7 linked regions of the Macaca fascicularis genome follow. Each later gene encodes a partner of the first gene's protein in a complex. Links are inferred from orthologs where the notes say so. Each region holds a gene or a part of one and is shown in the gene's direction. Other genes may lie near its edges. The genes, in order: TMEM237, AHI1, TMEM216, TMEM17, CC2D2A, B9D1 and TMEM67.

Evidence for each region.
Region 2: TMEM237 (region 1) and AHI1 share a complex: the UniProt entries of both Homo sapiens proteins name them as parts of the tectonic-like complex. The link is inferred for Macaca fascicularis from reciprocal best matches to the Homo sapiens genes TMEM237 and AHI1.
Region 3: TMEM237 (region 1) and TMEM216 share a complex: the UniProt entries of both Homo sapiens proteins name them as parts of the tectonic-like complex. The link is inferred for Macaca fascicularis from reciprocal best matches to the Homo sapiens genes TMEM237 and TMEM216.
Region 4: TMEM237 (region 1) and TMEM17 share a complex: the UniProt entries of both Homo sapiens proteins name them as parts of the tectonic-like complex. The link is inferred for Macaca fascicularis from reciprocal best matches to the Homo sapiens genes TMEM237 and TMEM17.
Region 5: TMEM237 (region 1) and CC2D2A share a complex: the UniProt entries of both Homo sapiens proteins name them as parts of the tectonic-like complex. The link is inferred for Macaca fascicularis from reciprocal best matches to the Homo sapiens genes TMEM237 and CC2D2A.
Region 6: TMEM237 (region 1) and B9D1 share a complex: the UniProt entries of both Homo sapiens proteins name them as parts of the tectonic-like complex. The link is inferred for Macaca fascicularis from reciprocal best matches to the Homo sapiens genes TMEM237 and B9D1.
Region 7: TMEM237 (region 1) and TMEM67 share a complex: the UniProt entries of both Homo sapiens proteins name them as parts of the tectonic-like complex. The link is inferred for Macaca fascicularis from reciprocal best matches to the Homo sapiens genes TMEM237 and TMEM67.

What each region holds. Positions count from the first base shown.
Region 1 is NC_088386.1:97,454,546-97,458,484, reverse strand, and holds the start of TMEM237 (transmembrane protein 237), read left to right. Parts: upstream 1-1,139; 5' UTR 1,140-1,264; coding exon 1,265-1,306; intron 1,307-1,549; exon of another isoform or gene 1,550-1,928; intron 1,929-1,950; exon of another isoform or gene 1,951-2,017; coding exon of another isoform or gene 2,018-2,035; intron 2,036-3,722; coding exon 3,723-3,754; intron 3,755-3,939. UniProt on the Homo sapiens protein: Component of the transition zone in primary cilia. Required for ciliogenesis.
Region 2 is NC_088378.1:39,505,506-39,509,005, reverse strand, and holds part of AHI1 (jouberin), read left to right. Parts: intron 1-227; coding exon 228-787; intron 788-3,500. UniProt on the Homo sapiens protein: Involved in vesicle trafficking and required for ciliogenesis, formation of primary non-motile cilium, and recruitment of RAB8A to the basal body of primary cilium.
Region 3 is NC_088388.1:12,650,324-12,654,522, reverse strand, and holds the start of TMEM216 (transmembrane protein 216), read left to right. Parts: upstream 1-1,399; 5' UTR 1,400-1,419; coding exon 1,420-1,432; exon of another isoform or gene 1,433-1,446; intron 1,447-1,986; coding exon 1,987-2,088; intron 2,089-2,641; coding exon 2,642-2,734; intron 2,735-4,199. UniProt on the Homo sapiens protein: Part of the tectonic-like complex which is required for tissue-specific ciliogenesis and may regulate ciliary membrane composition.
Region 4 is NC_088387.1:59,409,879-59,414,078, forward strand, and holds the start of TMEM17 (transmembrane protein 17), read left to right. Parts: upstream 1-1,400; 5' UTR 1,401-1,507; coding exon 1,508-1,607; intron 1,608-4,200. UniProt on the Homo sapiens protein: Transmembrane component of the tectonic-like complex, a complex localized at the transition zone of primary cilia and acting as a barrier that prevents diffusion of transmembrane proteins between the cilia and plasma membranes.
Region 5 is NC_088379.1:14,621,825-14,625,760, forward strand, and holds the start of CC2D2A (coiled-coil and C2 domain-containing protein 2A), read left to right. Parts: upstream 1-1,136; 5' UTR 1,137-1,307; intron 1,308-3,936. UniProt on the Homo sapiens protein: Component of the tectonic-like complex, a complex localized at the transition zone of primary cilia and acting as a barrier that prevents diffusion of transmembrane proteins between the cilia and plasma membranes.
Region 6 is NC_088390.1:19,101,099-19,104,598, reverse strand, and holds part of B9D1 (B9 domain-containing protein 1), read left to right. Parts: intron 1-2,009; coding exon 2,010-2,121; intron 2,122-3,500. UniProt on the Homo sapiens protein: Component of the tectonic-like complex, a complex localized at the transition zone of primary cilia and acting as a barrier that prevents diffusion of transmembrane proteins between the cilia and plasma membranes.
Region 7 is NC_088382.1:103,447,012-103,450,511, forward strand, and holds part of TMEM67 (meckelin), read left to right. Parts: coding exon 1-57; intron 58-1,170; coding exon 1,171-1,270; intron 1,271-1,364; coding exon 1,365-1,504; intron 1,505-3,500. UniProt on the Homo sapiens protein: Required for ciliary structure and function. Part of the tectonic-like complex which is required for tissue-specific ciliogenesis and may regulate ciliary membrane composition.

The sequences.
Region 1 (3,939 bases):
TGTGACAAACACGAATTTTCCTTACAGCCAATATCTACATGCATGCCTAAATTAGAAAAGGCAATGGATTAGTCCAGGAGACCTATATATAGAAGAATCACAAGACTGAAACCGTGTCTCAGAGTTAAACCAGGGACTAACAGAAATTCTTGAGCGTGCAGGACAGCAGATAAAAAACAATTTGCTAAAACGCCTAAACTTCTTCTATTGTGAGATTAAAAAACAAAATAAAGCAAACTGGCTGAAATTGGTTAGGACTAACACGGATGGCTACCTGAAGTCTGTACAAAATGAGCTTGCTGGCATTACAGCTCGAGTCTTCCCCCATGTTTCATACTGACTCCCTCCAAAATTTGCACATGCGACCCATGAAGGGACATGAAGAGGTAACCGCGAACGCCAAAAGATTTTCCAGATGGCTTCTTTCCTTCCACCAATCATTTACTAATCCCAGAATCCATTCCCTAAACCTTTTCTAATAAAAATACTGTCTTAAAGCCAGCACAGGGAGACAGATTAGAGCTATACTCCTGTCTCCTTGTTAGTTGACTCGCAATAACAACTTTTCTCAAAAAACCAGCATCATAATATTGGCTTCTGTGCATATAGGGCAACAAACCCCGTTTGTTTGGTAACAAGATTAGGATGCCATTACAAAGTCCTGTTTCTCTTTCTTCCCCCAGATTTGAGATTTCCAGGCGCTTTCCCTGTCCCTGTATCTGTTCATCTTCTGCATCATTCTCTTCTCCATATCCACATCATTCTTCCATCTTTCCCATCTCTTTCTTAACTGTAAAATAGAATGCATGATTCAAAATATTTGTAGTTCTGTTACTTAAAGTGAAAGTTATCTTAAAAAAAAAAAAAACCTAACCAAATAAAACTATGCAAATTAAGTAGTTTGTAATGATATTTATGTGAGGTCGGATTTGATTTTAAGGTTCTTCAAGAAAAAGTTTTTCCAAATTTGATTTACACAGTTGTGGGATGAAGGGTAAGCAATCGGAGAAAATGTGAGAATTGCCTATATTAATACACATCCACACACCCAGGCCCGCACAGACTCGTTGGTCCTAGAGAGTAAACACATTCGTCCCAAACCCAGCAATGCTTGGCAGGGCAGAGGCGGGCGGGGACCTGGCTCACGGGGAGGCGGCCACGCCAGGCGCCACGAAGCCCCGGCGTCCCGCAGGCTGCAGCGTCGCGGGGAGCTGGGCTCGGGCCGCCGGCGGTTGCGCCGGGGAAGCCCCGCGGGGAGAGCACCATGAGGGCTGACTCGGGGGCTCGGCTGGAGGAGGGCCACCTGGTGAGCGGCGAGGGGCGCGTCGGCCTCGAGGGGTGGCGGGTAAAAGCTACACTTGGCGGGGTGGGGGTGTGTGTGTGGGGGGGGGGGCGCTAACGAGCTGGGGATCACTAAGGGAGAGCCTTGCTCATGGGGTGCGCGCGTCCGCCCCTCCAGCATTCACAGGAGTGGGACGGAGACCCAGGCGAGGCCGGGACCGAACTCCTGGAGTAGGGGAGAGAGGCCTGGCATGAAGTTTGCGGGTACCTGAGCCCGCGTTGCCACGACGACGCCTCACTTCTCTGAGGCCCAGCGCCCGGCGGGTGCTGGGGCTTCCAGCCAGGCCTCTCATAGACTCCCCCTCCGAGAGGGCAGTAGCTGCCTAGAAAAGATCGTTGTTTGCCTGCGGAGTCCTTTAACCAAGGTCTTCCCTCACGCCTCGCTCCCCGCAAACAAATCACCGCGACCACTTAGGAAACCACGGGAAAGCTGCGATTGCAGCGCCACGGTCGCCGAATCTCTGCTCCTGGGCACATTACCCCAACTCAGAGGCCCCTTTTTTGGCAGGGCTAGTCTGGACTGGCCAATCCAGGTCCCTGCGCGTCTCTCACCCCAACTTACCCACCCGGCGGCGCTGCCCGATGACGCATTGCGCCTGCGCGCGCGACAGAGCCGGGAGGGGTGGGGCGCCCTGTGCTTGCGGGCCGGCGGCTGCCGAGGCCGGCTAAACACAGAATGGGGAAGAATCCTGTGGTAAGCGAGCCTTAGCTACTTTTAGTTGTTAGGATTTTTGTCTTCAGTTGAGCCGTCCTACTTTTGAGGAGTAGAGGTTGGGTCTCTGGGTGGGTGGAATGTCATTTTTGCGGGACTTTTGAAATCAGTTACGTGAACTGAGTCCTTGGATCGATCGCGCGCGTTTCGTAGCATCTGTAGAACAAGCGCGTTCCCGTGATTGTCATTCTTTTCCAGTTGTGATTTTGACTACTGGATGGTATTACGGGAGCTTGCCTCGTCCTAATCTTGTAGTACTTGCGTTAATCTACTGTTCGAACGAATGGATTGCTAAATGGGACAAACTACAAAAATGTCTAAAATTTAACCCTTTTGAATAAATGTCTTATGCAAGCAGCATGAGATACTTGGAACATTAAATTGGCTTCTAGGCATTTCTCTTAGTATCTAATTCTGAAAATACTTCTCAACTGTAATGCTCTCTGACTGCAAACACTTTTCTTATTCATATAAATGAGCGTTTAGAAGGGTTCCCCCCACCATTCTTTCTGCCCTAAAACGCATTCTTCCCAGTATATTCAAGTGGCCTTTTAAAAATTTGTGTTAGTATGTGGTTTAAAACTTCCATTGGTTTCCCATTGAATTAAAACAAAATCCAAACTCCTTGCCTTGGTCTGCAAGGCCCTAACTAAATCTGGCTCCTGCCTACCTCCTTGGCAATTGTGCGGCAGCCTTGCTGTCCTTTTACCTGAAATATTCCAGGCCCAATTTAACCTAAAAATCTTTGCATTTGTTCCGGTTGCTCCTTTCTCATTCAGGTCTCAGCTCAAATATCTCAGAGAAACTTTCCCTAACAAAAGTAGCACTCAGTCTCCTTCATTCATTACGTTTTGTGTGTTTGTGTTTGTGTATATATACACAAGGTATGTATACAAGATATATGTCTTAAATATAGCATATATATGTTACACATGCTGCATATAATATATAGTATATATTATATATATTTAACCTTGTTTCTAATAACCACTAGAATGTAAGTTCCATAAAAGCAGAGTTCTCTCCGTTTTGTTCATTAGTGTACTCCTAATGCTTAGAAAAGGGCCTGGCCTAGAGATAGAAAGGAATGTAGGAAGGAAATAATTTTATATGAAATTTAGAATGGGAGAACAAATTTTAAATTGCCCATGTTTCTCATCAGTACCTCCCAGGTTTCACTAATGAACAAGATTATCAAAAGATTTGAAGATCCTGGTCCGATCCATTATATTTTTCTGTCATGTCTGAACAACAGACTTTTGAAAGAAGTGGTTTCACCGGGCATAGTGGTTCACTCTTGTAATCCCACCACTTTGGGAGGCCAAGGTGGGCGGATTACCTGAGGTCAGGAGTTCAAGACCAGCCTGGCCAACATCGCAAAACCCATCTCTGCTAAAAAACCAAAACTTAGCCGGGCATGATGGTGGGTGCCTGTAATCCCAGCTGCTTGGGAGGCTGAGGCAGGAGAATTGCTTGAACCCAGTAGATGGAGGTTGCAGTGAGCCAAGATCGTGCCATTGCACTCTAGCCTGGGCCACAGAGCAATACTCTGTCTCAAAAAAAAAAAAAAAAAAAGGAAAAAAAGAATAGCTTTATGGTGTTTGGGATACATGAAGTAAAGATGCTCTAGGCTTTTACTTACAAGCAAATTTCTTTTTTTCCCCCACAGCGTCCTCCACGAGCCCTTCCACCTGTGCCAAGGTAAACATAATTTACAGTAATTTCATTATTGAGCTTTAAAAATGGAAAACGAAGACAGTAGAAAAATTAACTAGTATCATTGCAAAATTACAATGATTCTGGAAACTCTTCTGAAAAATTTAGGGATTTTCTGAAATTTTAAAGGTGAAAAATCCTTGAATTATAAGAATAGCAGTTAAAATTGA
Region 2 (3,500 bases), on another chromosome or scaffold:
AGTTAACTCATTTCATCTGAAGTTACATTCAGAGATTGCTTATCAAATTCTGCAAGCATAAATTATGAGAGTACTCAAATGCTCTAAAATAGTATCACTGTGTCCAGGTGAAAAACTAAATAATCCTCCCAATAATTCCACATTGTCAAACATTAATTATTAGGTTTTTCTTTATATAACTAATCTATGCATAACTGAAACTTTGTTATCATGTCTTCTTTTCCTAGCCTGACACTGTTAGAAGCAATCTTCCCCATATTGAAGAAACTACAAGTGATGATGTAAGTGCTACTAACACTAACAACCTGAAGAAGACCATGAGAGTCGCTAAAAACAAATCGAGGAACACACAGTCAGCAACTGAAAATCCTAATGATGATGTTAGTGTAGAGGAAGACAAACGAGGAAAGCCAAATAAAAAGGTGGTAAAGACGGTGCCCCAGTTGACTACACAAGACATGAAACTGGAAACTCCTGAGAAGGAAGTTGATTCTACACACCAGAAAGCGCGTACAAAACCACAGCCAGGCATTGATCATCAGAAAAGTGAGAAGGCAAATGAGGGAAGAGAAGAGAATGATTTAGAAGAGGACGAAGAACTGATGCAAGCATATCAGCGCCATGTAACTGAAGAAATGGCAAAGGAGATTAAGAAGAAAATAAGAAAAAAACTGAAAGAACAGTTGACTTACTTTCCCGCAGATACTTTATTCCATGACGACAAATCAATCAGTGAAAAAAGGAAAAAGAAAAAGAAAGTTCCAGTCTTCTCTAAAGCTGAAACAAGGTATTTTTACATTGATAAATGTAAAATATCCTCTTAGAAAAACACTCTATTATTATCAGGGTTTGAATATTATCTGTGGTTTAACAAAGAAAATTCTTAGGCTTTTATTTGGAGACATTGCCACTAAGATAAGAACACCTAGCTTTTACTAACACCTTACTATGTACTAGGTGCTTTACGAGAATTAACTCATTTATTTCTTATGACAATCTTATGAGGAAAAGTAATATTCTTCCTATCTTGCTGATGAGGAAACTGAAGTACAGAACTAGTAAGAGGCTGAGCCAGAACCTTGTCTCTATCCTGAACTACTCACTTACATCTGCTTTCTTTTTTTTTTTTTTTTTTAATTTATTTATTATTATTATACTTTAAGTTGTAGGGTACATGTGCATAACGTGCAGGTTTGTTACATATGTATACTTGTGCCATGTTGGTGTGCTGCACCCATCAACTCGTCATTTACATCAGGTATAACTCCCAATGCAATCCCTCCCCCCTCCCCCCTCCCCATGATAGGCCCCGGTGTGTGATGTTCCCCTTCCTGAGTCCAAGTGATCTCATTGTTCAGTTCCCACCTATGAGTGAGAACATGCGGTGCTTGGTTTTCTGTTCTTGTGATAGTTTGCTAAGAATGATGGTTTCCAGCTGCATCCATGTCCCTACAAAGGACACAAACTCATCCTTTTTGATGGCTGCATAGTATTCCATGGTGTATATGTGCCACATTTTCTTAATCTAATATGTCACTGATGGATATTTGGGTTGATTCCAAGTCTTTGCTATTGTGAATAGTGCTGCAATAAACATACGTGTGCATGTGTCTTTATAGCAGCATAATTTATAATCCTTTGGGTATATACCCAGTACTGGGATGGCTGGGTCTTATGGTACATCTAGTTCTAGATCCTTGAGGAATCGCCATACTGTTTTCCATAATGGTTGAATTAGTTTACAATCCCACCAACAGTGTAAAAGTGTTCCTATTTCTCCACATCCTCTCCAGCACCTGTTGTTTCCTGACTTTTTAATGATCGCCATTCTAACTGGTGTGAGATGGTATCTCATTGTGGTTTTGATTTGCATTTCTCTGATGGCCAGTGATGATGAGCATTTTTTCATGTGTCTGTTGGCTGTATGAATGTCTTCTTTTGAGAAATGTCTGTTCATATCCTTTGCCCACTTTTTGATGGGGTTGTTTGTTTTTTTCTTGTAAATTTGTTTGAGTTCTTTGTAGGTTCTGGATATTAGCCCTTTGTCACATGAGTAGATTGCAAAAATTTTCTCCCATTCTGTAGGTTGCCTGTTCACTCTGATGGTAGTTTCTTTTGCTGTGCAGAAGCTCTTTAGTTTAATGAGATCCCATTTGTCAATTTTGGCTTTTGCTGCCGTTGCTTTTGGTGTTTTAGACATGAAGTCTTTGCCCATGCCTATGTCCTGAATGGTACTACCTAGGTTTTCCTCTAGGATTTTTATGGTATTAGGTCTAACATTTAAGTCTCTAATCCATCTTGAATTAATTTTCGTATAAGGAGTAAGGAAAGGATCCAGTTTCAGCTTTCTACTTATGGCTAGCCAATTTTCCCAGCACCATTTATTAAATAGGGAATCCTTTCCCCATTTCTTGTTTCTCTCAGGTTTGTCAAAGATCAGATGGCTGTAGATGTGTGGTATTATTTCTGAGGACTCTGTTCTGTTCCATTGGTCTATATCTCTGTTTTGGTACCAGTACTATGCTGTTTTGGTTACTGTAGCCTTGTAGTATAGTTTGAAGTCAGGTAGCGTGATGCCTCCAGCTTTGTTCTTTTGACTTAGGATTGCCTTGGAGATGCGGGCTCTTTTTTGGTTCCATATGAACTTTAAAGCAGTTTTTTCCAATTCTGTGAAGAAACTCATTGGTAGCTTGATGGGGATGGCATTGAATCTATAAATTACCTTGGGCAGTATGGCCATTTTCACGATATTGATTCTTCCTATCCATGAGCATGGTATGTTCTTCCATTTGTTTGTGTCCTCTTTTATTTCACTGAGCAGTGGTTTGTAGTTCTCCTTGAAGAGGTCCTTGACATCCCTTGTAAGTTGGATTCCTAGGTATTTTATTCTCTTTGAAGCAATTGTGAATGGAAGTTCATTCCTGATTTGGCTCTCTGTTTGTCTGTTACTGGTGTATAAGAATGCTTGTGATTTTTGCACATTAATTTTGTATCCTGAGACTTTGCTGAAGTTGCTTATCAGCTTAAGGAGATTTTGGGCTGAGACAATGGGGTTTTCTAAATATACAATCATGTCATCTGCAAACAGGGACAATTTGACTTCTTCTTTTCCTAACTGAATACCCTTGATTTCTTTCTCTTGCCTAATTGCCCTAGCCAGAACTTCCAACACTATGTTGAATAGGAGTGGTGAGAGAGGGCATCCCTGTCTTGTGCCAGTTTTCAAAGGGAATTTTTCCAGTTTTTGCCCATTCAGTATGATATTGGCTGTGGGTTTGTCATAAATAGCTCTTATTATTTTGAGGTACGTTCCATCAATACCAAATTTATTGAGCGTTTTTAGCATGAAGGGCTGTTGAATTTTGTCAAAAGCCTTTTCTGCATCTATTGAGATAATCATGTGGTTCTTGTCTTTGGTTCTGTTTATATGCTGGATTATGTTTATTGATTTGCGAATGTTGAACCAGCCTTGCATCCCAGGGATGAAGCCCACTTGATCA
Region 3 (4,199 bases), on another chromosome or scaffold:
CTCCCGCCTGTAATCCCGCACTTTGGGAGGCCGAGGGGGGGCGGGTCACCTGAGGTTAGGAGTTTGAGACCAGCCTGGCCAAGATGGTGAAACCCCGTCCCTACTAAAAATACAAAAAAATATTAGCTGGGTGTGGTGGGGGGCACCTGTAATCTCAGCTATTTGGGAGGCTGAGACTGGAGAATCACTTGAACCCAGGAGGTGGAGCTTGCAGTGACCAGAGATAGCGCCATTGCACTCCAGCCTGGGTGACAAGAGCAAAACTCCGTCTCAAAAATAAAATTAAATAAATAAAATAAAGCCTAGTCACCTTCCTCAGGTTACCTGGTTGGAGCGTGCCATCTGTTTCCGGCTTTACCCTGATTGACAACGGGCTAACAGCCAAGTCAAGTCAACCTGAGTACTCTCAAAACCCTTCTTTTTGCACTTCCCTGCCTGCAGCAACACGTTTTTGTTTGTTTTTTTGTTTGTTTTGAGACAGAGTCTCACTGTCGCCCAGGCTGGAGTGTGGTGGCACAATCTCGGCTCACTGCAACCTCCGCCTCCTGGGTTCGAGCGATTCTCCTACCTCAGCCTCCCAAGTAGCTGGAACTACTGGCGCGCGCCGCTACGTCTGGCTAATTTTTGTATTTTTAGTAGAGACGGGGTTTCGCCATGTTGGCCAGGCTGGTTTCGAACTCCTGACCTCAGGTGATCCATCGCATCGGCCTCCCAAAGTGCTGGGACTACAGGCGTGAGCCACTAAGCCCGGCCAGCAACACGCTCTTACCGCTGCAAACCCGAATCAGGCAGGCTTTGAAGCCCAGCTCACAGGCCGTCTCTTGGAAACTGACTTAGATTTCCACCTGGGAGCACTTTGTCCTCTCAGCTCCCACTGCACCGCTTTAGGGATCGCGTGGTGACTCGTTTCAGTTTATTTACGTGTGCTCCTGGAAAGGATGCTCTATTTCCCTAGTGTCTCTACCTGGTAGGTAAATAGGCCGCAGAAAAGACCAATGCTAACTCCCATCCCGCATTTGCAGAGATCCGTCGCTCACACCGTTTCTCGTCTTCCGTCGAAAAATGGGAATCGTGGGAGTAGGACCTATTTGCCAGTCTCCTGGTAACATTGTCACAACTGGCCACTTCCGCCCAACGCCCGGTAGCCCAAGGGCCTCCAGGGTCCTACCCCACAACCCCGAGCTCCTGCAGACGACGGCGTCGTGGGCGGTCACTGTTTTCCCTTAGGTCTGGAGAGGGGACATCCGAGCGAGGGCCACTTGCGGCCTGGCCCGAGCTCGTCCCGCTCCGGGTGACCACAGAGTGCCGCGGGCGGGCAGAGGGGCCGGAAACCCCGGCCGCTCAGTCCCTGTTTCCGGCAGCGCCGCGCTGCTCCGGGAGCAACTGTGGCAGCTTACGCAGTTTCCACGGGGACTGAAGATGGCGCCGCGAGGTGAGATTCCGGAGGTGTGTGAGTCGCTGGTCCCTTTCCCTTTGATCCCTCCCTCGCACCTCTGTCCCAGAGCTTGACCTAAACCCTCCATTCTGTAGCGTTAGGGACATCGCGCCTCCCTGGTCCAAAGCGGGCTTCCGCGGACCCGCCCACCCTGGGTCCCTGAAGGTTTCAAGGTGCGTGGCTCAAATAGCCGCAGATCCTTGGCTGGGCCACTTCTAGGATGGCTCAGGTACGAATCTGTTGGTCTCCACGCCCCAACTTCCCCTCCCAAATAGTGACAGGGTGAGATCTTTGAGATGTCTGTCAGCTGCGAGTTACCTCTTAACTTTTACTCCTGAAGCCGAAGAGTCGAGTTTCGCGGTGATTCCTGGGAAACGAGGGAAGCCTCCTCCACATCCACCCCGTACCCTCATTATCAGCAACCAGAAGTGCCCCTGGGTGGCCGGTCCCATTAGTTGCGGCGTCTGGTTTCCCCAGTTAGACACCAACCCATAGGAGCAGAGAGGGAGCTGCCTTCCTGCCCATCCCACTTTTCTGTGCTGCTGTTTCAGGTAAACGGTTGTCCTCCACCCCGCTGGAAATCCTGTTCTTTCTGAACGCGTGGTATAATGCTACCTATTTCTTGCTGGAACTTTTCATATTTCTGTATAAAGGTAAGGAAGGCATGGGGCTTGACGACAGCACCCCTTCCCCACTTCAGCTCAGAGCCAACTCCGACCAAGAACCTTCTTATTTTCCGCTCTTTTCTGCCCCCTGCGGTTCTTTGTCGCTGCAAGGCAGGCCTCCTCATCAGATGGCTTCTTTGAGTATGAGTATGGCATCCCCTCAGCAAGAATTTCTTGAGTTTGGGAAATGTGGGCTTCTCCATTCTGACTCTGCCCACATCACTGGTCTTTGCTGAGCTCCACTGTAAGCCCATTGATGACCCTTAGAAACTATTCAGTGGCCCGTGTACCCATGTGCATCCACTCATTCTGGAGAGAGGAGTCCCCAGAGTCTTTTGGAGTTAGGAGTAAAATGGCATAATAATGAGCCTGGGTTGCACTGTGAGTTTATGTATCCTGCAGCTGTAATAATGCCCACATTTCACTAACTAGCTCATGGAAAGCTGAGACTGATGTCCTTGAGACTGATGTCTCAAGTGTGTGGCAGTTCTTGTGGATGCTGTTTTATGCTATTTGCAAACTCTGGCTTTTGTATTCGCAGGTGTTCTGCTACCATATCCAACAGCTAACCTAGTACTGGATGTGGTGATGCTCCTCCTTTATCTTGGAATTGAAGTAATTCGCCTGTTTTTTGGTGAGTGTTGTCCAGAGAATATTTCCACTCTTTATGAGACAAGCTGGTATCTCTAACTTGATTAACAAGAAAAGTACATCACCTAGGTTGACTATCAGAGACTGGATCTGTATATCCCATTACTCCCTCTCTGAAGTTTCAAGTTGCTGCTTCATACATTGGGTCAGGATTTACCTGTTTGTTGCTCTGTAAGGCTAGAGATGGGCAATAGAATGGGATATTAGATGATTCCTTCCCAGCTGCCTAACAGCAAAAGGAGTGCCTGGTTCTTCTCACTAGTATTCTTGGGGGAGCAGGTTCAGTTGTAACTCCATGTCAGGGCAGGCAGCGTATCCTGCACAGATCAGTACTAAGATCCCTAACAATACTCTGAATAAGGATCTCTGTAGGATTTTTTTTTTTTTTTTTTTTTTTTGAGATGGAGTCTCTCTCTATCGCCAGGCTGGAGTGCAGTGGCACGATCTCGGATCACTGCAACCTCTGCCTCCCGGGATCAAGCGATTCTTCTGCCTCAGCCTGCCGAGTAGGTGGGACTACAGGCGTTCACCACTGCTCCCAGCTAATTTTTGTATTTTTAGTAGAGACGGGGTTTCACCATATTGGCCAGGATGGTCTCCATCCCTTGACCTTGTCATCCGCCTGCCTTAGCCTCCCAAAGTGGTGGGATTACCACTGCACCTGGCCGGATTTTTGGTTTTTTTTTGGAGACAGAGTCTCACTGTGTCTGCCAGGCTGGAGTGCAGTGGCACGATCTCGGCTCACTGCAACCTCCGCCTCCCGGGTTCAAGCGATTCTCCTGTCTCAGACTCTTGAGTAGCTGGGACTGCAGGCGCCCACCACCATGCCTGGCAAGTTTTTGTATTTTTAGTAGAGATGGAGTTTCACCATGTTGGCTATGATAGTCTCGATCTCCTGACCTCATGATCTACCTGTCTTGGCCTCCCAAAGTGCTGGGATTATAGGTGTGAGCCATCACACCTGACCGGATTTTGTTTTTTAAACATTTACTTATTTGAGACAGGATCTCATTCTGTCACGTAGGCTGGAGTACAGTGGTACGATCATAACGCACAGCAGCCTTGAAGCCCTGGGCTCAAGCAGTCCTCCAACTTCAGCCTCCTGAGTAGCTGGGACCACAGGCATGCGACATCATGCCTGGCTCATTTTGTGTTTTTTGTAGAGACAGTGTCTTGCCTCATTGCCCAGGCTGGTCTGAAACTCCTGGCCTCAAGCAATCCTCCCGCCTTGGCCTCCCCAAGGTGCTGGGATTACAGGCGTGAGCCAACATGCTTGCCCTGTAGGACAAGTTTTATAATCCCAGAAATAACAGAGCAAAACCCTTATTTGTTAGAATATGTCATCCCTGAAATAAATGGTTTTTTTTTTTTTTTTTTTTTTTTTTTTTGAGACGGAGTCTTGCTCTGTCGCCCAGGCTGGAGTGCAGTGGCCGGATCTCAGCTCACTA
Region 4 (4,200 bases), on another chromosome or scaffold:
AATATGCAAAACTGAGAAGCAAGATGACAAAGGGAGTGTCACATCTAGAAAGTGGTGCAATAAGATGCACAGCTAGTGCTGCCTTGTGACTCTAAGATCTACCTCCTTGAAAAGTTTGCCTGTGGCAAATGTGGCTCGGCTCCCAAGCCAAGACAAAGTATAATTGGAGTGCCGAGGCTAAAAAACAAAATACCAACGAGACTGGTCGAATGAGGCACCTAAAAATTGTGTACAGCAGGTTAAGGCATGGCTTTTCTGAAGGAACACCACCTAAACCCAAGAGGACAGCTGTTGCAGCAGGAGTTCAAGACCAGCCTGGCAAACGTGGCGAAACCCTGTCTCTACTAAAAACACAATAATTAACCGAGTGTGGTGGCGGGCGCCTGTAATCCCAGCTACTCGGTAGGCTGAGGCAGAAGAATCGCTTGAACCCGGGAGGCGGAGGTTGCAGTGAGCCGAGATTGTGCCATTGCACTCCAGCCTGGGCGACAGAGCAAGACTCTGTCTCGAATAAAAAATATATATATATTTGGATTAGTCACACAATAAATGTTCCGATTTAAAAAAAAAAAAAAAGGCAAAACTCTCCTTTGCTGTTAGAATTCAGGAAAGGTCAGTTATGAGTGAGGAGGGGGTTTAGTGACTGAAAGGAAATAGGAAGGGGGAGTTTCTGGGAATATTGTAACGTTTCTTGAACAGGGTGCTGATATATTAAGTAATATATCTTAGAGAGAAAGCTAGAAAATACAGAAGTGTTTAAAAATTTTTGAATCACCTACAATCCCACTATCCAGTGATAACTGTTAATATTTTTTTCCAGTTTTTTTTGAAGTCGGTGTGCACATGCTCTCTCCTCCCCTCCACTCATACACATAAATTTTGCTAAATTAGGTTTATTCTCATTTAGTTTTATTTCTGCTTTATTTTTACATAAACTATATCATTCAATATTCTTTGCAAGCATTTTATAAGCAGCTGAAACATACTCCATTGAATGCATATGCTCCAGTACATTTAATCAGTTGCCCATTGCTCTATTTTCTTATTAAAAAATAATCAGTCATAGTATCTCTCTCTCACACATACCCCTACACCTCTAGACATTCTTTAAGCTCTGCATTCATTCTCTATTTCCCTCCAGAAAGGTTGTACCGATTTACAGTTTCACTGGCAAGATATGAGGGCTCCTTGTATCGCAGTCCAACCCCAGCTCATTTCTTAGTATAGGTTTGTTTTTAGGATGGTCGGGCTCAAAGCAGAACTAAGAGATCTGCCGTTTTGGACACGGCCGAGGCACGCAGCTCCCGGGGCCTGGAACGCGCTCTGAGTACGCCGGTCCCTTCAAGGTTGCGCGGGCTCCCGACGAGACCCGGCCCAGCCGGGCACCCCCGCGCGCTCCCGGATCTCGCCGGCCTCGCGCCGGCCGGTTGCCATGAGAACCACGGAGCCTCGGAACGCCCGCAGACTAGCCTGTATCTGAGGGGGCGAGGGATACCGAGGCCCAGGCATGGAGCTGCCGGATCCGGTGCGCCAGCGGCTGGGAAACTTCAGCCGGGCTGTGTTCACTGATTCCAATCGGACCGGTCCGGAGTACAGTGAGGGTCCCGGTGAGTGACCGAGGCCGGCGCAGGGGGTGTGGCCTGCTGAGGGCTTGGCGTGGGTTTTGGAGCGTCCAGAATTTGCCCGTACCTAAAATGGCGATGTCGCCTTCAGTCAGTTTCCCGCAGTGCGGGCCAGAGCCTTGGAGGAGGGGCCGGCCGGGGCGGGGAGCTGAGGCGCTGGCGGCCTCCGGCCGCGGGCTGGGCCTGGTCTGCACGCGCTAACGCCTGGCCTGCTCCGTGCAAGCCCGGCAGCTGAGGTGGGGCCGACCTCTGTGCCACGCAAGGCCCATCATGGCTCCTGGGAAACCCCAAAAATAAAAAGATAAAAGCCGCCCTTGCTGCACAGGCTAGTCCCCCGCGCACCGCGAGAGCGAAGGCCCAACTTGCTTTTCCTCTGCGGCGCCCGCCCCGGCTTTTCTGTCCAGGATGGCGAGGAACAGCCCAAGCAATCCCCACCTCCCCTGTCCCCACCCGCCGCCCAGGGAGCAAATTTGCCTTTTCCCTTTTCCTAGCAGAACAAGTATGTTCCTAAGCAAGGCCATTTTCTGGCAGAAAAGATTAGGGGGAAAAAATTTTTTTTTTAAGAGTCCTTTCAAACCACCATCCACTCCCAACTGGCATGTGCCATACTAGCCGGACGTTCAACAAAACTCACCCCTTCCCTGCCTTCTCCTCCTCCTCCCCTATATGTAACTCTTACCATAAGGTAAGAAAATACCATAATGCCTCTGCATCCTTCAACTTGATGACAAGTGATAACACAGTTTCCTCCAGAACAGGTTCCTCCTCCTACATCATGATGGTAGACAACACACTGTCAACCAAACCCGTGTGGTTTCCATCATTCAAGTCTGCTGGGAAATATAAATCTTTTCCACTGCTTGGTTTTACAGAATTTTTAAAAGGGACAGAAAAGTAAAGGCAGTCCCCAAAGCTGCATTTTGTCGTCTTGATCACTTGCCTATTCCCCAAATGTAGGCCTTTATGATTTAGGATGTACAGAGAAAAATGTGAAAAAATTAGGTTTCACGTTTCTGGTTCCAAGGATGAGGCTTAATGAGCACTAACGTCTGATAATACAAGGTAAAAAGACGTTTTCTGAAAAGGGCCAGATAGTAAGTACTTTAGGCTTTGTAGGCCATATGGTCTCCACGGCAGCCACTGACAATAGTTATTGAATAGGCATGGCTGTGTTCCAATAAAACTTTAAGGATATTGAAATTTGTATTTCGTATGGATTTCACGTATGAAAAAAATATTACTTTTTTAACCATTTAAAGGTGAAAAAACATTTTTAGCTCATTGACTGTACAAAAACGTTTAGGCAGCTGACCAGTTGTTTACCTATCCCTGATTTATATTGTATGTTTTAATTTAAATTCCATTTATAGAACTCAACTTGAACTTTTGCAAAATTCAGTAAATGTATATCTTATGCTTTTAAGGTTCATTTACATATTAATTTGATTTTCATTTCCATGATTATAAGTTTGATCTGCTGAAATATGGACATAGCATAACCTTTAAGATGTTAACACACAATACTTCTAACATAAAAACCGTTCTTTGCAAAATTTGACTACAGTTTCTTCTCAAAGGTACTGAAATGTTCTGCTTGCCCAATTTATTATTCTTTCCCGTATTTTGTTCTTTGTGGATCAGAAGTAGGTTTGATTATTTGTACTGTAATAACAAATTTATGTAATTACCATGTCCACAGCATTGTGCTGTTGCTATCAGAAAGATCCTAGGCTGGTGAGTTGTCTTCAGATTTAACAGATTTTAAGAATTCATTCATTTATCAGTGGTAATTTAATAAGCAGTTGCAAGCAAAAGTAGATCATAATAATCAGGCATATTTTTGGAGCTAAAAGAAACTATTTTGCTGCGAGAGACCATGACTGTTTCTTATATTTTAAAATTATTAAATGACAGATAAAAACACTCAACTATGGAGAAAAGGAGAAATAATGTTCTTAAGACATTTATTTTAGGACCTTTAAAATCTTACGTGTAGAACAACTGATTTCAATATATGTGTCCGCTCTTAAGAATTTAGTCAAATTTAGGATGTATTTTGTAGGGTTCAATTTTAAAAATCAAATTCTTAATTTAGGACCCTTCTGTCTTACATAAAAGCAAAAAGTGTTATGGAATCAACCTTAGGTAAATGGAACTCATGTATCACAAATGGCTATACTAGTAATGTCCTTATGACAGTATGCTTACATTAATTCATTCTTATGTGTATTTGATATTCACTGCATATAAAGCAAGATGCTAGATTCTATGAGGGTCTCAAATTAGGGTGGGACATGGTGTGTGCTTGCAGATAAGTAGATAAATAGAAGAGAAGAAGGAAAGGGGACTAATATTTGTTGAGTGCCTACTAAGTGTGCCCAGCACAGTGCTAGGAAGAAATAATTCATATTGGCTCTAATTCTCACAAGCAGCCTGTAAGGAAGTTTTAATTTCACTATTTTACAGATGAAGAAATAGAAGCTCAAAGAACTTAAATAATTTATATAAAGTCTGACATCCAGGGTCACAGAGGTTTGGGGAGCTTGGGTTTGCTTGAACTCTGAAGCCCGTGATCTGT
Region 5 (3,936 bases), on another chromosome or scaffold:
CCCGCCTCCCCACAACATTGTATTAGGGATTAAGTTTCCAATACATGCTTTTGGGGAGACACATACAAATCATAGAACATGGAATGCCACACAGGACCACATAGGGAAGAACCAGTGTTGGTCAGAAGGCAGAAGGGAGACAGCAGAGTACAGAGCAGAGCCTTTACTAGGGTTTTCCCAGGAAGGAATAGGTGACACAGGGTAGGGTGCTGAGTAAATTTAGGACTAGATAGCTTGAATAATCGTGGTGTTCTCTGGGCTATAGTGGTCTGGTATCTGGACCTGGGGTGACTTGGGACAGGAGGAATATTGGCTTAGTGTGTGAGAGTTTGAAAATGGAGATGGTTGGTTGTGTGGGCTCTGGATTGGCTGGCTTGTATATAAGACTTTGCATATTTCAGGGGAATCATTTGCTATCTCTAGAAATTAGCTAACCTAGGAGAATCAGTTTCTCCAGGATCAAGGCTCCAAATGCCAGAGCATCAAGAATACAATCAATACACATACACACAAACGTACACACAAAATACACACAGATACAGATACACACAAACACATGTGCACATACACACTAGTCTATTTGGAGTGTGGTTTCCTTGGCTCCATTCATTCTATTACTCTTCCAGCTACTTTGCCTCTTTCCTCTCTCTCTCTTTTTTTTTTTTCTTTTCAACTGTTTTGAGCCATAACATTTATATCCGTTTTTAGGAATTGCAGTGGGATTCAGAGAATAGGCAAAAATTAAACTTGTGCATTCAACCTTCCACTTTTAACTGGAAAACACTTGAGCGCAACATTTGCTGGTACCCTGCAGGACCTCCACAGAGCTTTTGCTGCTGCCACGTTAGACAGCTTCACCATGTAATGATGATCTTTTAAGATTCTAAATCGCCCCACCTCTGAGCCTGTTCTTCACTGGAAATGCAAGACGACCAGATGACATGAGGGAGGGGCGGCTCTTAAGGCTTAATCTAATTTGCAGTGCTGCCCATGTTGATTTCTCTCAGTCCTTCTCCAGCAGGCTGTGCGTCTCTGCTTACCCAGCATGCTTGTACTCCACTACTGGAAGTAACCTGTCACTTTAAAAGAAAAAAAAAGCCACCGAGTGACCTTCCTTAGGAACGGGTTGCTAAGCTGGTGTTTTTGCTCCAAGACATGGCTGCAGCTTCCCAGGGAGGAGCCCAGGGGCATCTCCAACACTCAGCCTTTCCCTCCGGACCCTTTTAAAAGATTCTACAGCACCATCTCTCTCCACTTCCATCCTAGAAAGCAGAATCTGCAAAGTGCCTTTTGTAAAGTTTCTTAAGGTAAATCAGTCCCTAACCGGACTTTGGGCTGCAACAATGATTTCCTGTTTTCAGTTACCCGGCTTGAAATTCAGTCTCTCCCGGATACCATGAGACTGGATTTAATGAATTGTAAATTTAGGGGCTCTCATCATTATTTATGTTTTTACTTTCTGAAATGGGAACATAGACCATTACTTGGCAGCTTTGATTTGAGCTGCTATCTGGTATCTGGTTTGCAGGAAATGTAAGTCCAGTTCATCACAAGCCCTGAGTGAAAAGCTCTGTGAACCATTAGCTGCATGTTGCACTTACGGGCCTTTTAGTTCAAACTGGCTTAAGGTGAGAAGCACTAGTTACTGCGAAATACACTTTTCTTGGTATTAGACAGAGAAAGGGCTACTAACCACAGTGCTGAGAGTTGCTGTGCTGTCCAAAGACTTCAAGAAAATCTACTGGCTACAACTTAAGCTGACTGTTTGTTTCCCCTCATTGCAAAGAGGTGCTATGAAAAGCTAATAAAGTCGAATAAGATATATGTTTGCTATTGCATTTTCATATAACCTTTTCTGCAAATAAATTCAGTGCCAGCATGAAATCTCTCTCTCTCTCTCTCTCTGTCTCTCTCTCTCTGTATATATTTATATATACACAAATATATATATCTCCTAGAGCCCACTTATAGAGTCATTCATTCAAACATTTATGGAGCATCAACAATGCACCAGGCAATGAACTTAAGTTTAGAGGGTGCAAACATAAATTAGACCAGGTCAGAAGCTCAGAGTTTGCTGGGAAAATAGACCTATAAACACATGATAAGAGTACAATGAGCTAAGTGCCATAAGAGATTTATAAAACACTGAAAGCACAGTGGGATGACATCCAGGGAGGGGCTTCCAGCACTTACCACATTGTGTAAATGCACTGGCCATATATCATATAACACAGCTCAAATATGGTCCCCATATGTACTCTTCAAAGCCAATGTATATTATATTGAGCTGATTCAATGATTCTATAAAGCTATTTGTCACTAACCTTATGCTAAGGGAAACTGCAGCTGGAATAACTTATAGAATAAGACAATGTATTCCAAAAGAATGTATGTGGCACCTCCCCAGGTGTCCAAGCTCCAGGATGGAACAGAAAAATATTCTCACGGTGTGAGGAAGAAAATACTCCTGGGTAGAAGTGCAGGAGGTTGCAGAAGCACCATACATGGAAACAGCAAGGCAACTGCCCTGGGCCTGGCTGAAGGCAACGAGAGATGGAACATGAGTTATGGAAGCTGGGGGTTGAAGATTGGAGCCAAAGGTGGGTGGGCTTGAAAATCACCTAAGGTCTTTTTCATGACTCCTCTTCTATCCCCCAAGCTCTTTTCCCTCCTCATTCCTTTTTTCCACTTTCCCTCCCCACAATCACTTTTTCTTATTAACAAAACCTACCAATATTAAGAGCCCAGTCTGTGCTAGGCATTTTGCTACACACATTTCATCATTTAGCCCTTATAAATTAATCATCCTTCAAGGTAGGAAGTATGATTGCAATGTTGCAGACAAAAAAAAAAAAAAATGTGTCTCAGAGAAGGGAGGACATTGTTCCAAGATCACACAGCTAATAAAAAAAGCTGAAGTTGGAACTCAGGTCCACATATTCCTTGGCAAAGAAATACGTGGGCCACTCTTCCTATAAACCCATGTTTTTGCCATCCTGGAGTAGGGCATATATATTGCATGATTTTTTAAGCAACCAATATGGAGTTGAGATGCATTGTATCTCAACCTACAGGTATGGCTCTGATCCACTGATGACTCTTAAGAATAGACCATTTATTCAGATGAAGGTGTCAGTACTTTCCTTGAAAAAAATGTTTGGTTTTCTGCACTGAGTAAAATAAATAATTGACTTAATGTAGCCTAAGCCTTTTCTCACCAGTGCTTCACAGCTTTCAACTGTAAATATTTCCAGAATAGTGGGCTATTCTGGAAAGCATAGAATAATTATTGATGCCATTACAAAAGTAAGAATAAATGGTGAGACAAAGGGGTAGAGTGGAGTGAGGGAGGACTTGGGAATCAGAGTCTTGGGGTCAAGTTCTGGATGTGACATTTAATAATTATAACCTTGGGCAAATCATGCAAACTGTCAGAGCCTCAGTTTATTCATACACAAATTGGGGCACATACTGCTAAGCCAGATATGTTATTGTGAGGACTAAAGAGAACATATGTCTAGAGTTAGCACAAAATAAGTGTGCAGTAAATCATAGTTATTTTGATGTTGTCAGTAGGAATATATTAACAAGTACCAATGCATAAGATGATGGCAAGCTGCATATTAAAACCATGCAGTACTGATTTATGTTTTCTTAGCAACAGTGTTCATATAAAAAGTAAATTTCGTTGTCATTTGATTTCCTTAGAAACTCATTTAAAGGAAATGATCAGGAAAGAATGAGGAGAAAAGAAAATCCCATTACATTTTTCATTTTCTACTTCTATTTTTTATTTCATATAAAGCGTTTTTTAACTTATAGAGAACTTTTTTTAGTTACTAAAATATTTCACAGATTTTTTGTTTGTTTGTTTTGGTTTTCTTTCAGTTTGCAATGACCGGAGTTGTTTATTAGAGAACTCTTGTGTACTTT
Region 6 (3,500 bases), on another chromosome or scaffold:
GGCGCCTGTAGTCCCAGCTACTCGGGAGGCTGAGGCAGGAGAATAGCGTAAACCCAGGAGGCGGAGCTTGCAGTGAGTGGAGATCGCGCCACTGCACTCCAGCCTGGACGACAGAGTGAGACTCTGCCTCAAAAAAAAAAAAGAAAAGAAAAGGAGGCTGAACTTATTTAAGCCCTCTGAGCTTCAGTTTCCTTGTTTGTACAACTGAGATGATAATCCATCTTTTCCCTTCACTGATTGTCTTCTGGGTGCCGGGGATGCAGGGGTGAGCAAAGCCAAACCGGAAGCCCCTGCCTTCCCGGAGTGCATGTTCTTGCTGGGGGTCAGATAATAAGGAGTGCATATTCTAGGATGTTAGTAAGCCAGAAGTGCCAAAGGGAGACCAAGCCAGGAAGTGACAGGGATGAGTGATGAGAGGGAGGCTGCGATCTTGCTAAGGCTGCCAGGGAGGGCCTTGCCGAGAAAGTAACTTTCGAGTAAAGACCTGAAGGAGGTGAGGGAACAAGCCATGTGGAAACCCGTAAGAACTGTCCAGGCAGAAAGAGCAGAGAGTGCAAAGGCCCTGGGGCAGGAGCTTGCCAGGCATGTTTGAGGACCAGAAAGGAGGCTGTGTGGCCACTGGAGAGCAAGCCAGCAGGAGAGTGGCTGGAGCTGGAGCAGAGGGGCACCTGGGCAGGTCTTGTAGAACTTAGAAGGTCAGAGTAAGGACTGTGACCTTTACTCAGAGGGAGATGGGATCCCATTGGAGAGCTTTCAGCAGAGAAGAAAGTGATCTGACTTATATTTTTAGAAGATTCCCTGGCTTCTACGACAAGAATAGACTCGGGGAAAGGGCAAGAGCGGGCAACCCAGTTGGCTCTGAGAGCAGTGGAGATGGGAGAGTAGGGCAGCAGCAGTGGGGTGGCGGGAGGGGCTGGACTGCAAGTATACTCTGAAGATAGAGCCGCTGGCTTCTTCTGATAGATGTGAGGTCTGAGAGAAGGAGCAGTTAGGATTCACAGCAGGGCTTTTAGCCTGAGCACTTAGAAGTGGGCAGCTGCCTTTCAGTGAGAAGAACAGATTGGGGAGAGCTACCTGGAGCTCAGCCTGGTGTGGGTTAAGGTTGAGGCACCCACTGGATATCCAAGAGGAGGTGCTGATCCAGAGTGCAGAGGCGAGGACCAGGCTGGAGACCTGAATTTGGGAATCATCGACATCTAGAACACATTGAAAGCCATGGGACAGATGAGATCACCAAGTACAGGTAGACAAGCTGGCCAAAGATGCAGCCTTAGGACGGCAACACTGAGAAGGAACCAGCAAGAGCCACAGAGCAGGGGGCACCCTGTGCGGTGGAGAGACCCAGAAGCCAAGGGAAGACAGTGTATCAAGGAGTAAGCAGCTGCACCAGGTGCCGCCGATGAGTCAAGTAACACGAGGACAGAGAAAGGACCATTGGATCTAGCACTGTTGGTCACAGGCGTTATTGGAGAAGACCCTTTGGTAGCGTGCTGGAGCCAGCAGTCACATTGGAGTGGGGTCACAAAAGAATAGCAGGGGAGGAATTGGAGCCGGTAATTGTGGCAGCTCTTTGAAGCAGTTTTGCTATAAAGGGAGCAGAGAATGGATTGGTGGGTGGAAGAAGCAGCGGAATTGAAAAAGGACTGTTTTTGATGGAGAAAATACATCTATATTTACCGATGGGGATACTCGGGTGAGGGTGGGGATGCAGGAGAGTGCAAGCACTGCTGGACCATTTCCTTCAGGGGGGCAAGAGCTTGGGAACAGATCTAGTGCCCTTGGGCCCAGGAGAGTGGCTGGCCTCCCGGGGTTGTCATGCTACGGCATTGTCATAGAACAGGCTTAAGAGGTACTCCATCATCTCTTAGCCCCCTTTGTTTGGAAGTTAGTGTACCGGGAGAAGATAGCTTAGGAAACAGCCCTCCCAACTGCCTGCTGAAGATAAGGGGAGGAGCCGCAGCAGCTTGGCTCTGCTCTGAATCCAGCCGTCTCTGTCACTGTCCCCACAGGGTCTGGAGGAGGGGATCTCACAGATCACGTCCAAGAGCCAAGATGTGCGGCAAGCACTGGTGTGGAACTTCCCCATTGATGTCACCTTTAAAAGCACCAACCCCTACGGCTGTGAGTCTGCAGGGGCCCTGCGGGGTAGGGTGGCAGAGCTTTCACACAGCACCCCCAAGACAGCCTCTGCCTCATCCAGCCCTTGACTGTTCACATTCAGATTGTCACCTGGGCTCCTGAAGCAGCCCTCAACGTTCTCTCTCGCCATCTGTCCCTTTGCCTCCTATTCTTCCTCATTCCCGCTCACCCCCTTCATCTGCTACGGGCTGTGCAGCTGGCCTTCTGTAAGTTCAGAGTGCATCAGGCCTAGTGGCCACGCCTGTAAAAGGCAGGCTCCCCACCCTGGCATGCAGGGCTGCGGCTGTCTGGCCTGGAGGCCTGACTCTGTGCCTGCTGACTTCCCATGGTGTGTTGTGTTCCGGCCAGACCCTGGCACTTGCTGCTTCTGTGCTAGTCCCTCAAGTTCCTTCATCTGAGCTTTATTCACGCTGATCCATCTGTCTGGATACCGTTCCCGCGTCCTGTATCTAACCTCTTTCCCAAGGGCTTCCTGGCTGGCATTGCTTACTTTCTACCTTGGCTGGTGGTTATTAACCATTCTGATCGTTCACTTGCACTTCATAAGTGCCTACTGTGCACAAAGCCTGGGCTTAGTCTCCATGGGGACTATGAATACTTTCACTGTGTGGACTCATCCGAGCTTCCCAATCATACCCGCTGGAGAGATTTCTCTCCATTTCTTTTCCCATATGAGGAAACTGACACTCAAAAATGACATCATTTGCCTTCTGCTTTCCATCTAGTGGCCAAGTGTAGATTTTAATTCAGGCCCATCTGATTTCACAGTCTAGGCCTTTCTACTGCACGTGGCCTGGGCCTAGGCTCACCACAGTGTAGAGGGTCTGGAGCAGAAAATGCCTAGTGGTCCTCCTGAGCAGGGAATTCCATCCTGCTGTCATCATCCATGAGCAGGAAGCTGCAATCGACTTCCTAGAACAGTGCAATAGGTACTGTAGGTACTGGACCAGTCTTCTCCTGCCGAGGACAGGTAGGAGAGGTAAATGAAATACACAAAAGCAAAAACAAAAAGCAACTACCTCAAAGGCATCAGAGAGCTAGCAAAGTAGAAGAGATTTACCAGGCAAGATCCAGGAGAACAGAAATCCAGAGAGGTTACCCCAATCCTGTCTCCTCTGGGAGTGTTTGCTGATTTCAATAGAGGTGATTGAGAGACTGATCAAGACTTTTGACAGCCTCCCTGGGCCCAGGACACAAGAAAAACTGATGTTCAGAGCCTTCCAAGGGGTTGGGAGGAGGGCCTCAGATAAATCTCTCCAAACTGGGTTAAGACCTCAAAGAGCTGCCCTAGGAATAAGGGAGAGATAGAAGCAGAGCAGCCTCACAGGGCTTTCAGCTCGGCCCCTGATGATTTCAACCTC
Region 7 (3,500 bases), on another chromosome or scaffold:
ATGCCAGTTCAGGAAGAACGTTTTGTCACTTATGTTGGATGTGCCTTTGCTCTGAAGGTAAGTTTTAAAGGACAGGTTACCAAATTTAAAAGGCCTGCTAATGAACTAATAAGTCTTTAAAATTAAAATGCTTTCAAAAATCTTTGGTGTGAAATTCACTTTGGTTTTGAAAGAAAGCATTAATTATTTTATGCAGTAAATTTACTTTTATTTGTAGTAGATGCTCAGTCTGAAAATCTGCCTTAAATATTTTTTTCAAAGAAGCCATAAATTTGTATGGCTTATTTGATAAAATGATATTTCAGTATATAACTTTCCTTAAAGTCTGATGATACATTCACAATGGGACAAAATGTCTTCAGGCATGAATTTTGTCTCCATTAATCAAGGATAAAGTGTTGAGATCTTAAAGCTGTTTTGTCTGTCTCCAGATTCCTTTGCTCCTTTCTTCCTATGACCCCCATCCTCAACTCAGTGTTCTCTATCAATGTAGGTGAAGCTCTTTATATGCCTCTTGATAGTCCTTATCCCATTGTACTGTGAATATTAAGTGTCTCCTTTTTCCACTGGCTGGGAGCTTCTCGAAGTGAAGTATCCCATACTTAGATTTTTATCCTTTATTTGATCAATAATGCAGCAACTAGAAAGAATGCCTCAGTTTAAACATATTGCTTCTATAAATGAGAAAGATGTGTTTCAACAACGCATTCTGTAAAAATCAGAAATCTTAATAGCAGAAATAGAAAAAACAGACAGAGCATTCAAAAACTTTAGGAAAAACAAGCTATAGTTGAAAATATCTTTACTTATAAAGAAGTCAACTGATCTACAAAACGAGGTGTGCTTCTAGAATCTTTGGGAAAGAGTCAATTATATAAGTCCCTATGTGAGGAGGAAAAATGTCTCCTCTTTTCATATTCCTATTTTAAAGAAATAAATAAAAAGGGAAGGTAAAGTAAAATGTATATGAAAATTCTGTGAATTTGGTGATTCCAGGTTATCTGATGAGCTTCTAATGATCCCCTAGTGGTATTATAACTTCATGTGAATTCACTTATAAACGTATATGTTCTTGTGATAACAGTATGTTTCTTAAAGAGTCAATATTGGTTTTATAAGCAGGCTTAATGCTGGTACTCTTTCAGGTGTTTTATTATATGTCATTCTCAGGCACTACAATTTTTGCATAAGCTCATATCGCAGATTACAATAGATGTATTCTTTATTGATTGGGAGCGACCTAAAGGAAAGGTTCTTAAAGCTGTTGAAGGTAAGTGAAATATACATTTGTACCAAAATTCTTTTGCTATCCTTGCAGAGCAAAGGAGGTAGAATTCTTTTACTCATTTTATTTTTCTGACCAGGTGAGGGTGGTGTACGAAGTGCCACTGTTCCTGTAAGCATATGGAGAACATATTTTGTAGCAAATGAATGGAATGAAATTCAGACTGTGAGAAAAATTAATTCACTATTTCAAGTACTTACTGTCCTCTTCTTTTTGGAGGTATAAACTGTTTTGATGTGATTATATGCAACTTACATGTACCTTATAAATATTAAACTAATATAATTCCAACTAAGTTTTCATGACAGTGGAAGATTTCTCTAAAGGTTGAAATATTGTTGTGAAGCCATTAAAAAGGAGTGACTTTATGTTATATATTTTACCACAATTTTTTTGTTTTAAGTTTACCATCTTAAGCATTTTTGAGTGTAGAGTTTAATAGTGTTAAGTCAGCCAGGCGCAGTGGCTCACGCCTCACTTTGGGAGGCCAAGGCAGGCGGATCACCTGAGGTCGGGAGTTTGAGACCACCCTGGCCACCATGGAGAAACCCTGTCTCTCCCAAAAAATACAAAATTAGCTGGGCATGGTGGCACATGCCTATAATCCCAACTGCTCGGGAGGCCGAGGCAGGAGAAGCGCTTGAACCCGGGAGGCAGAGGTTGCAGTGAGCCAAGATCGCGCCATTGCATTCCAGCCTGGGCAAAAAGAGCGAAACTCCATCTCAAAAAAAAAAAGATAGTGTTAAGTACATTCGCATTGTCATGCAAAATCATCATCACCATTCATCTCTAGAACTCTTCATCTTGCAAAACTGAAACTCCATACCCCTTAAACAACCCTGTACCCATTCCCTGCTACACCTAACCCCTGGCAACCACCATTCTATAATACTTCCTGTCTCTGTGTGTTTGACTGCTCTAGGTGTAAGGAGTGGCTTTAAAACCAATAGTTTGTATCAGAAGCCCTCGGGGATCTTTTGTAAAATACCTATGCTCGGGCTCACCCTTAGAGACTATGTTTGATTTAGTAGCTTTGAGGTAACCCCAGGTATCTATATTTTGAAAAAGCTCCCTACTCCCTGATCCGTATTCTCCCCTGCATTAGAATCACTATTATAAGTTTGATATTTTTCAACTAATTTTTATTGAAAACTTACTATAGACTATGTTCTGTGCTAAGAGCTGGGGCTAAAATGAACAAGATGCAACATATTTATTATACATTTGCAGTTATTTCATGGATTTAGTTGAAATTATTAAAGAAAGTATTCAGTACTAAGTGTAAGACTGAACATGGAAACCGTTTATATGGGAATAGGTTTTCTCAGGAATTATCTGCTTAATTAAGATTGAATATAAATCATTAACTCTTAGGTCTGTCTGTCTTCCTTCTTTTTTCTTCTTTCTTTCCATTCTCTTTCCCCTTTCCCTTCCTTTATTTTTGTAAAACTGGTAGAAGACTGTTTGTATCCTTAGAGCCTTTAAATAATATGAGCAATACTTCCAAAATTCACTTGAAGTAGTATTTTGGTTTTTCTTAAATGAACAGATAAAATTTATATATGTTTATAGTTTACAATACAGTGTTTTGATATATGTATTCATTGTGGAATGGCTAAATCAAGCTAGTTTATCTGTTACCTCACATACTTCTTTTCTTTTTGAAGTTGTGTGTGTGTGTGTGTGTGTGTGTGTGTGTGTGTGTGTGTGTGTTTAGGAGTTTCCTCAGCTTTAAAAGATGTTACATGAAAAAGTTTTATAGTCAAGTTAGTTTGGAAAATATTGGATTCAGTATAATCATGTAGTACCTTTTACTGTAAAACTTCTCAGAGCCTTTATTCTACAAGGGTGGGAAGCATGGAGGTGAGTGTAATGGATGGACCAAATGTATTTAAACATAGATTATTTTTTCAAAGAACTTATGCCCTTTAGAAGACATTTTGTAATATACTGTTTTAAAGTATAAAAATGTTTAGTACAGTGCCTGGCACATGTCAAATACTCATGAAATACTAGTTGTTGGTTTCACTCATTGGTAGTTTACTAATGAAAGTTTTATCCTTTGAATTAAATTTGTATTCCTGTCAGTGTGTATGACAATAAGGTTATATTTGACCCTTAGTCATATTGAGAAGAATGCCAAATGAACTAACTAAATATTGTGTAATAAATACTTTGTAGTTAAGATACTGGATAATAATTATTTTTATCTAGA